Linked DNA regions of Rattus norvegicus. The protein of the gene in region 1 interacts with the protein of each later gene in a biochemical or structural test. Links are inferred from orthologs where the notes say so. Each region holds a gene or a part of one and is shown in the gene's direction. Other genes may lie near its edges. The genes, in order: Hspb1, Mapkapk3, Mapkapk5 and Mapkapk2.

Region 1 (3,669 bases):
TGAAAAATCCCAAAGTGGATAAAGAGGTGGCTGTGCGAACTTGGGGGCTGAGTTTTGGGTCTACAACTGAGGACATGGCTGCTCTGAGGTGTGGTTAAGGGGAAAGTTTTTACGGTGGATATGAGAGCATACAGTCAGAGGCGTCTGGAAGAATCCAGAGCAGAGAAACTGAACTGCATATGGCCAGCAGATTGGGTGTGTGTGGACAGGAGAGAAGAGAGATTGGGAGAGGGACAGATGCCAGCAAAGAGAGATGGGGCAAAAAAGACCAAGAGAGGGGGATGAGGGAGAGAGGACCAAGAGAGCACATACAGTCGTGAGAAGCTGGGGGAGGGGAGCCCCAAGAACTGGAGACGTTTATGAGTAAGGGGCAGGGTGAGAAGGGCTGAGAAGAGCTAAGAGTAGTATTTCAGTTGCCCAGTGAGCCCAGAGGCCAGTGCTCATTGGTATGCTAATAGACATCACAGGTGACCTTTAACCCTAGTTTCTTTTGTATGGACCACAAAGCAATCCATATAAAAGCTGGAGGTGGCTACCATGTGATGCCTCTAGCCTTTAATCCCAACTCTCCCAGAGGAAACGGCAGGCCGATCTGTGAGATCCAGGCCAGCCTAGTCTAATGAGTTCTAAGACAACCAGGACTACACAGAAAAATCCTGTTTTGAAAAAAGATCCTAATCCTAGCGCTAGGCTGGAGGGGTGGGGCAGTTGCAGAAACAGGAGGATGCTAGGGGGTTCACTGCCCATCCAGTTTGCAGGCACCAGGCTTGATGTCTCCCGAGAGATGGCTCAGCGATTAGGGGGACTGACTGCTCTTCCTAGTACCCAGGTTCAAATTCTAGCACCCGCAGGGCACTCCGAGATCTGACACTCTCTGTAGCTCCAAGATCTGACACTCTCACACAGACGTACAAGCAGGCAAAACGCTGATACACAAAAAATAATGTTTAAAAAAGCATTAAAACAAAAAAGAAAAACCCTGTCTCAAAGAAAGAGAGAAAGGAAGGAGGGAAGGAAGAGAAAAAGAAGTCTCAGGGTCAGTAAGATATTTAGTGGACGAAGGCGCCTGCCACCAAGCCTTTGGTCCCCAAAGAGACACATGGTAGAAGACAGCTAGTCTGGCTGGTCATCCAGAGACCTCCACAGGTGTGCCCTGACAAGTGTGTCCCCACAGGCCTCCTTCTGGCTCAGACCAGGTTCAGTTGCTTCCTAATTGCGACACAAAAGACCGTACCCCTCCTGGTTTATTCTCCACAAACGATGGGACTGGCCCCAGGCCACCGCCCTTCAGACTGCAGCGTTCTAAGCGACAGTGGGAACTGCTCCAGCTACCGGTATTACAGTCATTTGTTTTCTTCAACTAGAGAAGTTTCCAGATGGGGGCAGAACCTTCCTGGCCCTGCCTGCCCGCCCCCTTCGTAAGCTTAGGGGGAGGAATGCAGAGGGGAGGGGCGGCGAGGGACGGCCCCTTAGACGGTCATTGCCATTAATAGAGACCTGAAGCACCGCCTGCTAAAAATACCCGGCTGGACACCCATAAAAGCACAGTTGGGGCTCCAGCTCGGCACTTCTCGGATCCTCAGCCCAGTGCTTCTAGATCCTCAGCCCTGACCAGCTCAGCCAAGACCATGACCGAGCGCCGCGTGCCCTTCTCGCTACTGCGGAGCCCCAGCTGGGAGCCGTTCCGGGACTGGTACCCTGCCCACAGCCGCCTCTTCGATCAAGCTTTCGGGGTGCCTCGGTTTCCCGATGAGTGGTCTCAGTGGTTCAGCTCCGCTGGTTGGCCCGGCTATGTGCGCCCTCTGCCCGCCGCGACCGCCGAGGGCCCCGCAGCAGTGACCCTGGCCGCGCCCGCCTTCAGCCGGGCGCTCAACCGGCAACTCAGCAGCGGTGTCTCAGAGATCCGACAGACGGCCGATCGCTGGCGCGTGTCCCTGGACGTCAACCACTTCGCTCCTGAGGAGCTCACAGTTAAGACCAAGGAAGGCGTGGTGGAGATCACTGGTGAGTTTCCCTTATCCCAAGAGGGGACGAAGCTGGTGGGGCGAGCGAGTAACGTGGTGGCAGTGGAGGTGGGGGGTGGGGGTGGGTGCTGAAACCATGAGGGACAGGACCCTGAAAAGTTAGAAATGAGCTCAGGGACCCGGAGACCCGCGTCATTCTCCCTAGCCTGCTTCTCTTGCCCCGGAACGCGGGGTGCAGGTTTGCTCCTAAAAGCTCTGTCATCTTCGATGATAAGGACCAACAGCTGGGGGTGTAGCTCAGGGCAGAGTCTTGCCTGGCAAGCCCGGAGGCCTTGAGGCCTTGACCACCCGCAGCACAGAAACAAAATGAAGGAAGACCCAAGGCACCTTCTGGAAGACCTCATCCCCAAATAAGCAAGTGGCAGGACTCCAGTCAGGGTCCCTAGACCCAGCCGCGGTGGGGGCGTGCGCACAGCTTCGAGTATGCCTACGCTGGCATCCAAGCCTGGGTCAGAGCCAAGCCCAGGTCCGGGACCTTTGCATCCCAAATCTCAGAAGCGAACTTTCTGGAAAGTTTTAAGATCCCAGACAGTCAGGCATCCCACCACACTCTTAATTTGTTTGCCTCCTTGGGGCCCCAGCCATTCCTTAGCTAGGACTGCAGAGGGCTGCCTCTGACCTCCTTCTGTCCCCACCCACAGGCAAGCACGAAGAAAGGCAGGATGAACATGGCTACATCTCTCGGTGCTTCACCCGGAAATACACGTGAGTTCTGGTTCCTTGCATGGAGAGCTGGGGGGTGGGGGAGCGGACCCTGGGCGGAGGGCGGGGTCAGGAGGGATGTGTAACCCTTGTCCTTTGTTTCTGCTCCTCTAGGCTCCCTCCAGGTGTGGACCCCACCCTGGTGTCCTCTTCCCTGTCCCCTGAGGGCACACTCACCGTGGAGGCTCCGCTGCCCAAAGCAGTCACACAATCAGCGGAGATCACCATTCCGGTCACTTTCGAGGCCCGTGCCCAAATTGGAGGCCCAGAGTCGGAACAGTCTGGAGCCAAGTAGAAGCCTTCAGCTTGCTACCCATCCCCAGTAGCCGTCACCAGCCCTCCCTCTCTGTCAATCTGAATGCTCTTTTGATACATGTACTTTCTGTTTTTCTCAAATAAAAGTTGGAAACTACTGCTCACCACCCTCTCAGAATCCAGAGTTGTTATGGTGGGCTAGGGATGAGTGTTTCTAATTGGAGCACCCTTTGGGGTCTTTGCTAAGTGTTTGCTCTAGGCTCAGCCCCTTCCTCCGTCCAGCCTAATATTCCCCTAGGAAGAGGCAGGGGGTGGGGTGGGGTGGGGGGAGTAACCTGGAGATTAAATTTACCAGACTAGGAATGGTGGTATATGCCTGTAATTCCAATACCCAGAAGTTAATGCAGAAGCATTGTGAATTGGAAGCCAGCCTGGGCTACAGAGTTCTTAGAGTGACTGGGCCACATACATGCTGTCTTCAAAACCAACCAGACAAACAAACATAATAGGAGCTTGGGGTGTGGCTCAATAGAGTGTCCTATGGTGTGCATGAAGCACCATTTGATCCTCTACATCAAATAAACCGGGTACGGTGGCACATTCCAGAAGTGGAGGATCAGAAAGGAGTTCGAGGTTATCCTGGGCTACGTGGCCAAAGTGAGGCCAGCCTGGGATACATGAAAACACC
Region 2 (4,071 bases), on another chromosome or scaffold:
TTGTCTCTGTATTTCCTCCTGTAAGTATTTTGTTCCCCAGAAGAGGAAATTTTAAAGTTAATAGAGAATCTGTCTTTGGGATGGAAGAAAGGAATTTTAATGTTAATATCGATTGATGATTGATTGATTGATTCATTGAGATTTTGGAGACAGTGTTTCTCCATGTAGCAGTTCTGGTTGTACTGGAACATCTCTTTGTAGGCCAGGTTGGCCTCAAACTGACTGAGATCAGCTTTCCTCTGCCTTCAGAGTGCTAGGCTAATTTTATTTTATTTTTTAAAAACATAGCCTCAGGGTTGGGGATTTAGCTCAGTGGTAGAGCGTTTGCCTAGAAAGCGCAAGTCCCGGGTTCGGTCCTCAGCTCCGAAAAAAAGAAAGAAAGAAAAAAAAAACCAACCAACCAACCAAACAAACAAACAAAAAAAAAAAACATAGCCTCACGATGTAGCCTAGGTTAGCCTCCTAATCCTCCTGCCTAAGCCTTCCTCGTGCTGCAATTACTGGTGTTCATCACCAGGGCCAGTGGCTTGAAATAGAATCTAAAGCTCAAATCATGACAAAGTGAAAAGTTGATGCAACTGACCAATGGGAAATCAAGATTTCTGGGTCAAGAACGGCCCAGGTATGTTCAACTTACGGCTGCAGGCTGTAAGAGGTCCAGGAAAGCACGAGTGTGGCCCAATACATTTGCGACAAGTGAGTTGCAAAGTCAAAAGTTTGGTGTATAGAAAGGAAAGCTGGCCAGTGTTAGACAGATGCCCTAAACCACCAGGGAATGAAGAGTTGCGAATTGAACAACCACATGTCCCAGGGCAGACTGACAAAAAAATTCAGAAGTTGAATTCTGAAGCGCTTAGCTATCTGGAAAGTTGGGAGTCTAAACCGCCCCCTGGCAGCAAGCAAAAAGAACACTTCACTCAAGAGCCCTCAAGAGAAACAAAATGTCGTGTGCTGTAACTTTTCAAGATCAGGGATAAAATCCGAGGCTGGTACAACAGTTGGAGGAGTTCCTACCAGTGTCACAGGGCGCTGAGAAAGTTACAGACACTTGAGGAGGCTACGCCCCATTTTGTCCCGACTCAGGGGCGGAGCTTGCCAGGGGCTCTGCCTTGGCCAACCCAGCCTGGACTTGTCTGGCCCTTTAAGGCTGACCTAGCGGGGCCCCAAGTCCAGATGACGCGCCCAGAAGGGGGATGGGGGGTCACGTGGGGCGCGGACCGCGAGACTCTGGGTCCAGGGCTCCCCTCCGCAGCGGACTCCAGGCCTCACTATCTCTTGCCCCTCTCGCCTACAACATGACTTCCGTCTAGTGCTTTGCCATCAAGTGCGCCTTCGCCTGGCACGCCTTTCCTGGGCCCCTATATGGCCGTTTCTCAAGACCTGGCTGCTTCACTGCGCCGGACTCCTCAACTCCACATGTGCCTGGGCTGAGGGATCACCTCCCCCTGCTGTACGTAGGTACTCTCAGGCAGTTTCCAGCTTGTCTTGGCCCAGCAGCCCAGTCAATCTAGTTCTGGAGAAACCAAAGCTGGGGTGTGTCCAAAAAGTCTCGATGGGGAGTGACTCTTTCCCTTTCCTTCAGGTGCCTCTGGACGTGCCAGGCTGGGGCTACCTACAAGCGCCCCGTGGGGGCCATGGATGGCGAGACGGCGGGGGAGAAGGGGAGTCTTGTGCCCCAGCCAGGTGCGCTCGGTGCGCCCGCCTTGGGCGGTGCTCCGGCCCCAGGTGTGCGACGGGAACCCAAGAAGTACGCGGTGACTGATGACTACCAGTTGTCCAAGCAAGTGCTGGGTCTGGGTGTGAACGGCAAGGTACTAGAGTGCTACCATCGGCGCTCTGGGCAGAAGTGTGCCTTGAAGGTTAGTGACCCATCATCTCTCGGAGGGCTGGGATGACCTGGAGGGTCCAACAGCAGATACCTGTGGGTGTATCTATATTCGGGGCCTCTATTAAACATCTACACTCAGCATCATGTTTTATTTTTATACTCTTCCTCTAGCGTCAGACTCATGGTCCTCTCAGCCTCACACATGCGGAAACAGGCTAACACAGGCTGACCTACCTAAGCTCAGGGTGGGTCCCAAAGAGCAAGGGGGAGGAGTCAGTGTGAGTAGAGCTGTTGTACCGGAAGGCAGGAGGGAGTGGCTGTGCGCTGTGGTTCTGGTTTGGGCTTGTGTTTAGGCGCAAAGGATGCTCTTACTCTTAGCCATCCTCTGCAATTAGCTCCTGCTACAGGAATGGGTCTAAGTTTCCCTCTGCTTGAGGGCTGAGCTCCCAAGGCTCAGAATGGGGTTGCTTCCTCCTCACGGCTTCCGACTGCTGAGGCAGGACTATAAGCCTCTTTGACTGCTGGGCTCTTGATGAGTTGGTGGACCCTTGTGGAAAGGGGCAAACTTTGCTCCTAGGCTGACCCACCCCGGGCAGACGATGAGGAACCACTTACCATATCATACTCCCTAGAGGCTGGCACATTGATGTAGGTGGAAGGGGGAGTGGCTTGGAGTAGTTGATCTCACTACCTGAATCTGGTTTGGGCAGTCCAAGAGGCCCTACTCCTACCCGTGTCCTCACCCCACCTCTACCCCGTACTCCAGAACACCTTGAATTTTTTGTCACTGGGAACTAGACTCAATTAGAGGTGGTGCCATTGGCACCTTCCTGGAACATCAAGGTGGAGAGCGAGTAACTCCTGGAAGTTCATAAAGTTCTGTTTTTCATGAGCCAGGGTGCAGAGTCCTGTAGCTGTGGCTGTAATCTCTACCTTGTGTCTGTGCCAGCTCTGTGACCTTGGGCGATAGCCGATTTTGTTCAGGGAGAGAACGGGAGTTGATGTGAACTCAAAATGAGATAAAACACGTGGCGTACTTGATCTAGGCCTGGAAGAGGCCTAGAGAGGAGGCTTCAGCAGTTTCTTCAAGCACAAGATCCAAAAGAATTTTACTGAGCGCCTGGGCCCCGTTCTTTGTCGTTCCCTGGTGTACCAGGCTGAAAGCAGAGGAGGTTGGCTCTCAAGCGGGACCCTAGAGGGGATTATGACGGTGGGTCGAGGGCAGGGTAAGGACTGACTTGAGGGCTGGACCCTAGGTTCTTTATTCGTTAACCCAACAGTAGAATAGCGCTTTGGGGTCCCAGGCAGGGGTGAGAAGGTGGCTTTCCTCGTGGCAGATAGGTCTGAGGAGATGAATAATGAGCCTTACCTTCTCCCTTACCACCAGTTGTCCTGCTTGAATTAAGAGGCAGCCTGCGTGAGGGTGAGCGGGTGATTGAGGCCAGAGAACCTCTTCTCAGGTTTGAGGCTTTGACCCTGACCTTCTGGGGATCACATATTGTGAGCACAGTGGGGATGAGTGAGAGCCTGTAGCCTGTAACCCAGGCAGTTGCAGCTTTAAGCAGGGCTGGGCCTACACCTCCCCCATAGATGAAGTGTCTGACTAATGACTGGGGGAACTTGTGGCTACAGCAGCTTCCACTCTAGCTCCTCCTATTTTAGGGCCCCACCTTCTCCCTGTCCTGGTCTGGGAACAGTGGAGTTCTGAAGTAGTTTCACCTCTGTTCCCCTTAAGATTATGGGTCAGCATGACTTGAAGGCTCTAGGATCTGGCCCTAAATTTACCCTCCAGGGAGAAAGAGATTAGATGTGGCTCTCATTCTAATTCTTTCTGATCTTGGCTCCTACTCTCCAGAAGGGACCAGCTCTACCTCTGTGTATGTGCTGTTTTAGTGGCTTGGCCTTGGGGAAGGAACTAGCACCTTCTCATTTAACAGTTTCTGTCCTCTGCCCAGGAGAGGAAGGATGTATGGGGAACTTCAGCAGAGTAACAGACCGGAGCCCAAGGAGCTCAGCCAGGCCCTGAGTGGGTCCTAACCCTCTCCTCAGCTGCTCTAGTTCAGCCTAGGAGGTCATGGGCTCTGTGCCTTCCTAGATCCATAACTCAGATAATTAGGCTGGCTTGGCTTGATCGTGTAGCCTGAATTTTTCATGCCCATCTTTGGGCTTTATTGCCTGAGGGGTTAGACAGAACCTAGCAGGAAGCCTAAATGCAGCAGGCATCCATGAAACAGGAAGACTGT
Region 3 (3,561 bases), about 14 Mb from region 1:
TCTCAGTTTGTTTATACCGTTGTAAAACTGACAACTGACTGGGTCTCACTGTGTAGCTGTGCCTGGTCTGGTACTCATTGTTGATTAGGTTGTCCTGTATTCAGAGAAGCCTTCCTGCCTCTGCCTGCTGCGTGCTGGGAGTAGAGCAGAGAGCCCTCCTGGCTGACAGTCTTGTTTTGACATTTTGTCCAGCTTTAAATATATTCATGGAAAGCAGTTGCCTGCCTTCACACCATGAGTATGAGAATTGCCTGTTTTGTTGTTACTGAATGTTGATGGCCTACCAGGGAGAGATGAATGGAGAATGCATACTTGATCCACTCCATCCTGGACATTGGGTTGTTTTTATTTAAACATTCTCAAATGGTGATAGTGGGTCATTACTGAGGACAAGTGGTCTAGAAAGTGCCATGCTTCCTTCTGTGAAAGCAAGTGTTTGAACCTCAATCTCTAATGTGGATGGGATACTCTCTGCTGTCAGGTACATCCTTAGCCTGGTAAGATTAGGCCTGAGAGTTCACACTCCTGACTCAGGGTTTCTGTTGCTGTGAACAGACACCATGCCCACCGCAGCTCTTAAACGGACAACATTTAGCTGGAGTTGGCTTACAGATTCTGAGGTTCAGTCCCCTATCATCATAGCTGGAAGTAAGGCAGCGTCCAGGCAGGCATGGTTCTCGAGGAGCTTAGAGTTCTACATCTTAATCCAAAGGAAGCCAAGAGCAAACTGTCTTCCAGGCAGGAGCAGGGTCTCAAAGTCAACCCCTGCAGTGACACACTTCCCCTAACAAGGCTACATCTCCTAATAGTGCCAACTCCCTGGGCCAAGCATATTCAAACCACCACTCTCCCATCCACACAAGTTGAACAGTTTGTTCAAGGATGTAAGCTTCTATTAATACCTGACACAGTTTTCTGGACTCTCAGTTTTTAAGATTTAAAAGAGTGCCAGGTGGGGCTGGCAGGATGGCTCAGCGGTTAGAGCACTGACTGCTCTTCCAGAAGACCTGAGTTCAGTTCCCAGCAACCACATGGTGGCTCACAACCATCTGTAATGGAATCCGATTCCCTCTTCTGGTGTGTCTGAAGACAGCGACAGTGTGCTCACATACATAAAGTAAATAAATTTAAAAAAAAAAAAAAAGAAAGTGTACTTGATTGTCGTAGTGAAGACTCACAAGTTACTGTGCTGTACATTTGAATACATGAGTGGTGCTGGAGGCGGATGAAGGCCTCTCATATGCTAGGTAAGTGTTCTGCCACTTATCTAAAGTCCTAATGTTTGTTCCATACGTTGTCTAAAGCATCATTTGTCTACTTAAATAGACCACGAAGGTGGATTGCAGTTCTCTTATTCTTGAACCTGTGTTATCGGGAGGTAGTGGTTGGGAGGAGATGGCAGTCATGTGAACAAGTGTGCGATTGTGAAGCCTGCGGACTGGGAGGCGCTGAGGCAGGGCTGTAGCTTACAGTTGAGTTACCTCTGCCTCTCCTGTTCATCTTCTTCTTTTTAATAGGAGACCTCCATTTTAGAAGAATATAGTATCAATTGGACTCAGAAACTGGGAGCTGGAATTAGTGGTCCGGTTAGGTAAGACAATGTGGAAAAGTGGGTGTGTGTTCTGGGAACAGACATAGGAAGTGAGCTTTGAGCCACAGGCACCCGATGCGCCATCAGAGTTGGCCTGAGTTTAAATTGCAGTTTTTATTTGGCTTTGAATTGTTGTAGTAGCATGTACCACTGAGCTACCCCAGCTCATAGAGGTGACAAGCTAAACCTCAGGTCCGTCCTCATAATCTGTTTGTTGCATTTTTATGAGTGAGTGTGTGGAAGTCTAAGGATGACTTTCAGGAGGTGGTTCGCTTCCCCCGTGTAGGTCCTGTGGATCTCACTGGCCCCTTGGTAAAGGCCTGTAGTTAGTGTTTCATAGCTAGAAACAGCTAAGTAGTAAAGTCACACGGTCTGTAGTATTATGGGCTGATTTTAAGACGTTAAGATATTTGGACCAGTGAGATGGGTTGTTGGGTAGAAGTTCTTGTTACAATTCTGATGGCCTGGTCCAATAATAATACTGGAAGGAGAGAACTGATCCCTGCAGGTTTCTCTGTGACCTCCTTATGTACATCACACATGAAATAAAAAAATTTAATGTAATTCTAAAGATGTAAAAGGTGGGGCTGGAGGTGGGTCAGAGGTTTAGAGCTGCAGCTGCTCTTGCAGAGGCCTGGGTTTGATTTCTGGGACCCATAAACTGGCTCACCAGTAATTCCTCCAGGGCATCTGACGCCCTCTATCGGTTTCCACAGGGAACAGGCGGTGAACAGACTTACATGCAGGCAAAACATTCATACAATAGAAAGAAATAAAAATGTTAGGAAATAAGACTGGCCTTTTTGAGAGGCCATCGTTTCTTCAGTCCTTTGGTCGTGAGCTGACATTACCTGCTGAGGCTGAGACTCTAGTGTGGCTCCGTGGCTGAGCAGACAGCAGGAGACTTCACCTTTGCCACCTGCTGCTCAGGGCACATTGTTTGTATTCCTTTGCCTGTGTGTCTGAGACAGGGTCTGTTAGGCCATGCTGTCCTGGAACTTGCTGTGGAGATCCTGACTACCATTGTGATTCCTTTCTATACCTAGAGTCTGTGTAAAGAAATCTACTCAAGAACGGTTTGCACTGAAAATTCTTCTCGATCGTCCAAAAGCTAGAAATGAGGTATGTTCCTTATTTGGCTTGCACACGCACGCACGCACGCACAGAGGGAGAGGGGGTGGTCTTTCCTCTGCAGGCCTGAAAACTCCATTAGATGCTTTACTGCTCCAGACAGTGTGGGCTCACCCTCTGGGAACTGAAGTTTGTTCTTCTGGAAGAGCAGGAGACACCCTTAACCACTTAGCTGTCTGTCCAGCCCTTGTTTAAATGTTCTTAGAGCCTTAGGATATATATGTATTTACAGTTAAGGCAGGTAGCTCTCTGGAAAGTGAAGAGATGTGTAAAGACTGTCTATACTTCCTCTCTTCATGTTACCATGTCGAGTGCTCCAGTGATGTGGAGAGCTGGCGTGCAGTCTTCACTCACCTCACAGTTTACATTAGTAGCAGGAATGTGAAATAGTGAGTTGTGCACGTTGTCATTTGTTAATAGAGGGCGTAGTGCATCTGTTAGTGCAGTTTTTTGTTTTTTTTTTTCCGGAGCTGGGGACCGAACCCAGGGCCTTGCGCTTCCTAGGTAAGCGCTCTACCACTGAGCTAAATCCCCAGCCCCGTGCAGTTTTATTTGTATGGAGGAAGCCAATGGTCTGGACAGGAAAATACTTTTCCTAGTATTCTAGGTGACAAGGATTTCTACAGAAGTAGGCCGAGTGTGGTCAGTTTTTGATGGTGTTTCCTGTGTTCTCTTTAAGGTGCGCCTGCACATGATGTGTGCCACACACTCCAACATAGTTGAGATTATTGAAGTGTTTGCTAACAGTGTACAGTTCCCTCATGAGTCCAGCCCCAGGTAAGACTGAACAGGGCCATCACCATACATGTCCATGTGGAAGTCATAGTTGTAGACTAGTG
Region 4 (4,107 bases), on another chromosome or scaffold:
GAAACCGGGACTTGTCTAGCCTGTGTGCAATGTGGAAGGGATCTGTCCAGCTGCAGACTGAAGTGAGCTAATTTGCTTTCTATTCCCAGGCCTGTATCTGCCACACTGCTGACCCAACTACTGCATCTATCCATTCCCCTGGGTTAGCATTATCACCACAGGGGTAAGCCAGGAGCATGGAACCTAGTGCTGAAAAAAGTGCTTCTTGAAAGGGCACCAGTCGTCTCAGTTTTGCTGGATCTCAAGAGGGGAACTACTGTCCTTCACCTGTCCACCTCTGTCTTCCTTGGGACAAGCCTCTTCTGGAAATCTAAACAGGGAAAAGCAAATGAACCTTATTCTCCTGGGCTATGTCTCCAATGCCCTTTTCTACTTCTACTAGAACTAGGCTGCTACAGGAATAGTTATTGGTCATAGCCTCAGGGATGATTTCCTCAACCACCCAAGAACTATTCCCCTTGCCTTTCCCCTTGGTCTATAATCTCAATGAGTTTAGAACACAAAGGCATAGGTGTACCTCCCAGAGAGACATGAAGTTTATGGGTATTTTGAGACACAGTCTGCCTTTGTTGCTCAGGCTGACCCTCTGACACATCATCCTCCTGCTTCAACCTCCTGCAGATAACCCTGGATTACAGGCAGCTACAGTGCCTCATCCCTTTCCTATCTTGGGTCATGTTGGGTTTACATAAAAATATGTTCAAATGCATAATAACTAAATTGGTCATGATAACACAGCAATACAGTCTCAGAAAACCAGTAAGTCCATGAGGGAAAAAAAAGTAAAACTCACAAGTATATTAAGGAAATCCTTACTATTGCCTGACGCCTAATCTTAGGATGAATAGTCTCTGTAACCCCCGCCCCCCCTCTCCGCCCCCGGCTCCCCGCACTGCCCGGGTAGCCCCCACCCCCAGGGTCCACGTAGGAAGATTCTTATCAATTATCCGTTTCTTTCAAAATACACCGCCTCCTCAAATTCCCCGATGACCTGTCTTCTAGATCCAAGCAGTTGGAGAAGTGAGGGTTTTGTTTGAATTATCCAGCCTCTTTTCTTTTGCCCTCCTTCCCTTTCCCTCTGCCCGGCCCGGGTTAAGAACTAGGATTTCTTGGTGCTCTCTTCCTGACCGCTAGCTCGCACTCCCTATGCTCTCCCGCCACTGGACTTCCTCCCCTTTAAGGCCCACCCCTCCCCCAAGCCCACGCCTCTCCCAAGCCCCACCCTCGATCCTCCCCTTTAAGGACTAGCCCAGGACGCTGAGCAGCCTGTGACGCGGCCGCCGCCCCCGGGCTGGTACTTCTCGGCGCGGCGATTCCCCCGGCCGGGCCCCGCCGTCCCGCGTTCCCCGGAGCGCTCGTCTCCGGGGGGAGGGAGCAGGGCTGGTGGGCGCCCGCGGCGCACAGCGGGACCCACGGGGCCCCGCGACCCGCCGAGCCTGGAGCCGGGCCGGGGCGGGGCAGCCGGCTCCAGCCCGGAGCAAACTTCGCCGCCGGGCGGGGCGTGGCGGGGACCCGGGCCCGAGCCGGAGGAGGGGGCTGCCGCGGCCCCTTCCTCTGCGCGCGAGTCGCCGGGCACCATGCTGTCGGGCTCTCCGGGCCAGACTCCGCCGGCGCCGTTCCCCAGCCCGCCACCACCCGCCCCGGCCCAGCCGCCGCCGCCGTTCCCTCAGTTCCACGTCAAGTCGGGCCTGCAGATCCGAAAGAACGCCATCACCGACGACTACAAGGTCACCAGCCAAGTGCTTGGCCTGGGCATCAACGGGAAGGTGCTGCGGATCTTCGACAAGAGAACCCAGCAAAAATTCGCCCTAAAGGTAAGTCTGGGCCGCCCGGGATCGCGCTGGGATCCGGTGCAGCTTCCGGTCACCCCGCGAGTGGCCGGCACCCGAGAGGACTCACGGGGACTGCCATGTTGGGGTGTGAGTGGGATCCAGCCGGGAGGCCACGCTTGGGTCCGGGACGGCCTCTGATCGCTTCACCCGGAGCCGAGGACACGGTGGCCCCATCCTCCCTCCCTCCTTCCTTTCTGCGGGCACAAAAGGCCCTTTACTCATTGAGCTGGTTGGTCGGTCGGTTTGGAGAAGTTCGCTCTCTGAGGTTTCCTTAACCCTACTCCTTATTTGGGAGCCGGAATGTGACTTCGCTCTCTCCGGCCTCGCGAGGTCGGCGCGCAGCACTGGGGCGCGTCGGCGCGGCGCTGGAGACTGGGGACCCCGCCTCCGTGTCCCGCGATTGTCTGGAACCGCCAGCGCCTGGCCTGCGCTACCCCTTAGGCTGCGCCGCGCTGTTTCCATTGCTCCCTCCACCGTTGGAAGCCTTGTCTGTAAGCCAAGGCTTGGCCCAGTGCTGATAAACTGGTCCCTCGTAGCTGGAGACTCAAAGGCAGGAAAACACTATTCCTGCATTTGGGAAACCCACTCTTAATTTCTCTACGTCTGCCTGCCTCTGTTTCTGTCTGTGGTAGTGGAGAATGGGAATTTCAAAAGGTCTTAGTGAACCACCGGACTCTGTCATTCAGGGTCACTGCAAAGTTTTCTTCTCTCAAGGGTTTCAGGTTACACCGTATCTCTAAAGGTCACTTGTCAGGTTTCTTTCTCCCGAGGTGTCTCAATGATTGGAGGAGCAAACTACTTCCTGTGTTATATTTTTCTCTTCCCCCTCAGCCCACACAACTTGCTTTGTTCCAGCCCTTCTATAGTACAGATAGACTATAGTACAGATAGAGTTGAGACTGTTGTCATATGCGGGACCAAAACCTGGGACTTTGTATGTTTTTGCTGTTTTCATCTTCAGCATCACATTAAAAATGTTGCTTGGTGTGAATGCTGGGGAGGGACTCTTAACACGGCCCCAAATACTGAAGCGTTTGTACTTTTCACTTCTCTTTCCCTGTTAGTAAGTAAGTGAGGAAAGGAGTTGATTGGGTCGAACGGTGGCTCTGACCTTGGGGACTGGAGGCTAAGGAACAGTTTGACCACAGTTAACTGTATTGTTGAGGAAGTGACAGATGTTCTTTCCGGAAACATTTCTCTCTCTGCCGTGCCATCTGCCTTTACCCATCAGCAGACCGGGGACACTGGCTGTTCATTCTCTTGCTTAGCTGGAACACAGTCTAAAGACTTCACAACAATAACAGAAAAACCTGCTTTACCCTTTCCTATTCTGTTTGAATACACTGTCCTCTGAAGTGCTCTAGGCTGTCAATTCAGATTTCTGGTATAGTTAACGGAAGTTCGTGTACTTTTCTCCTTTGGATAGTTTTGAAAGGAAAAGAAGCTAGCAGCATATTAAACCATCCTCATGCTAACCCTTCTCTAGTCAGGGGTAGGTGAAGACTGTTTTGACAAGCAGCCCGCTCCCAGATCTTCAAGGCTGACTCAGATGGCAGATTGCAGATTTCCCGTACATCTTTGTGTTGAGATTTTGAGTAGAGGAAGAAAGGAGAGCCAAGATGTTTGGAGAGTGGCAGCCGTGTCAACAGCATTTTCATACCCAAATATTGGCTAAGACATAATCGCAGCCTTGAGGGAAATCTGGTTAAAAGAAATCCTCTTTCAGTGGCACGCACCACCACTGCCGCCGAGTCTTACGCTTTGAAAACTTTAGGTGCTGAGTAGTGAAATGATTTCAAAACAGTGGGGGCAGCACGGGGAGAGGAAACAGTGGAACAGGCTGGGTTGATGATCCCTTTGGGTACTGGGAAGAGACCTGTGCTCTATACAGTGTACTGAGTCCATGCCTAGGGACGTAGTGCCCAGCCTGGCTCTCATGGGGATTTAGAAGCCTGTCTTATAGCCCCGAGGAATGATGGGAAATGAAGGCTGCTCCTAGGTTCTGCTCTTTGTTCTATTAAGTGAAACCGGGGCTTAAAAAAAATAAAAACTAACCTAAGGATGGCCCAGCTGTGAGGAGCGTTTGCTGCTTTTGCAGAGGACTCAGGTGGGTAACACCTACCTGTGACTCTAGTTCCAGGGGCTCTGACATCTGAGCTCTTTCTGTCCTCTGTGCTCACCATTATGCACTTGAGACACACACACACACACACACACACACACATGCACACGCATGCACACACACACACATGCATATGCACGCACACACAAACGC

Evidence for each region.
Region 2: of the proteins of Hspb1 (region 1) and Mapkapk3, one has a biochemical effect on the other in vitro, tested with the Homo sapiens proteins (2 studies listed by BioGRID and IntAct). The link is inferred for Rattus norvegicus from reciprocal best matches to the Homo sapiens genes HSPB1 and MAPKAPK3.
Region 3: of the proteins of Hspb1 (region 1) and Mapkapk5, one has a biochemical effect on the other in vitro, tested with the Homo sapiens proteins (4 studies listed by BioGRID and IntAct). The link is inferred for Rattus norvegicus from reciprocal best matches to the Homo sapiens genes HSPB1 and MAPKAPK5.
Region 4: of the proteins of Hspb1 (region 1) and Mapkapk2, one has a biochemical effect on the other in vitro, tested with the Homo sapiens proteins (17 studies listed by BioGRID and IntAct, with this or other methods). The link is inferred for Rattus norvegicus from reciprocal best matches to the Homo sapiens genes HSPB1 and MAPKAPK2.

Annotation. Positions count from the first base shown.
Region 1 is NC_086030.1:26,430,127-26,433,795, reverse strand, and holds Hspb1 (heat shock protein beta-1), read left to right. Parts: upstream 1-1,494; 5' UTR 1,495-1,628; coding exon 1,629-2,004; intron 2,005-2,665; coding exon 2,666-2,729; intron 2,730-2,840; coding exon 2,841-3,021; 3' UTR 3,022-3,156; downstream 3,157-3,669. UniProt on the Homo sapiens protein: Small heat shock protein which functions as a molecular chaperone probably maintaining denatured proteins in a folding-competent state. Plays a role in stress resistance and actin organization.
Region 2 is NC_086026.1:116,839,381-116,843,451, reverse strand, and holds the start of Mapkapk3 (MAP kinase-activated protein kinase 3), read left to right. Parts: upstream 1-1,223; 5' UTR 1,224-1,454; exon of another isoform or gene 1,455-1,458; intron 1,459-1,582; 5' UTR 1,583-1,634; coding exon 1,635-1,859; intron 1,860-4,071. UniProt on the Homo sapiens protein: Stress-activated serine/threonine-protein kinase involved in cytokines production, endocytosis, cell migration, chromatin remodeling and transcriptional regulation.
Region 3 is NC_086030.1:40,657,779-40,661,339, forward strand, and holds part of Mapkapk5 (MAP kinase-activated protein kinase 5), read left to right. Parts: intron 1-1,517; coding exon 1,518-1,591; intron 1,592-2,637; coding exon 2,638-2,713; intron 2,714-3,401; coding exon 3,402-3,499; intron 3,500-3,561. UniProt on the Homo sapiens protein: Tumor suppressor serine/threonine-protein kinase involved in mTORC1 signaling and post-transcriptional regulation. Phosphorylates FOXO3, ERK3/MAPK6, ERK4/MAPK4, HSP27/HSPB1, p53/TP53 and RHEB.
Region 4 is NC_086031.1:45,109,496-45,113,602, reverse strand, and holds the start of Mapkapk2 (MAP kinase-activated protein kinase 2), read left to right. Parts: upstream 1-1,276; 5' UTR 1,277-1,577; coding exon 1,578-1,814; intron 1,815-1,827; exon of another isoform or gene 1,828-4,107. UniProt on the Homo sapiens protein: Stress-activated serine/threonine-protein kinase involved in cytokine production, endocytosis, reorganization of the cytoskeleton, cell migration, cell cycle control, chromatin remodeling, DNA damage response and transcriptional regulation.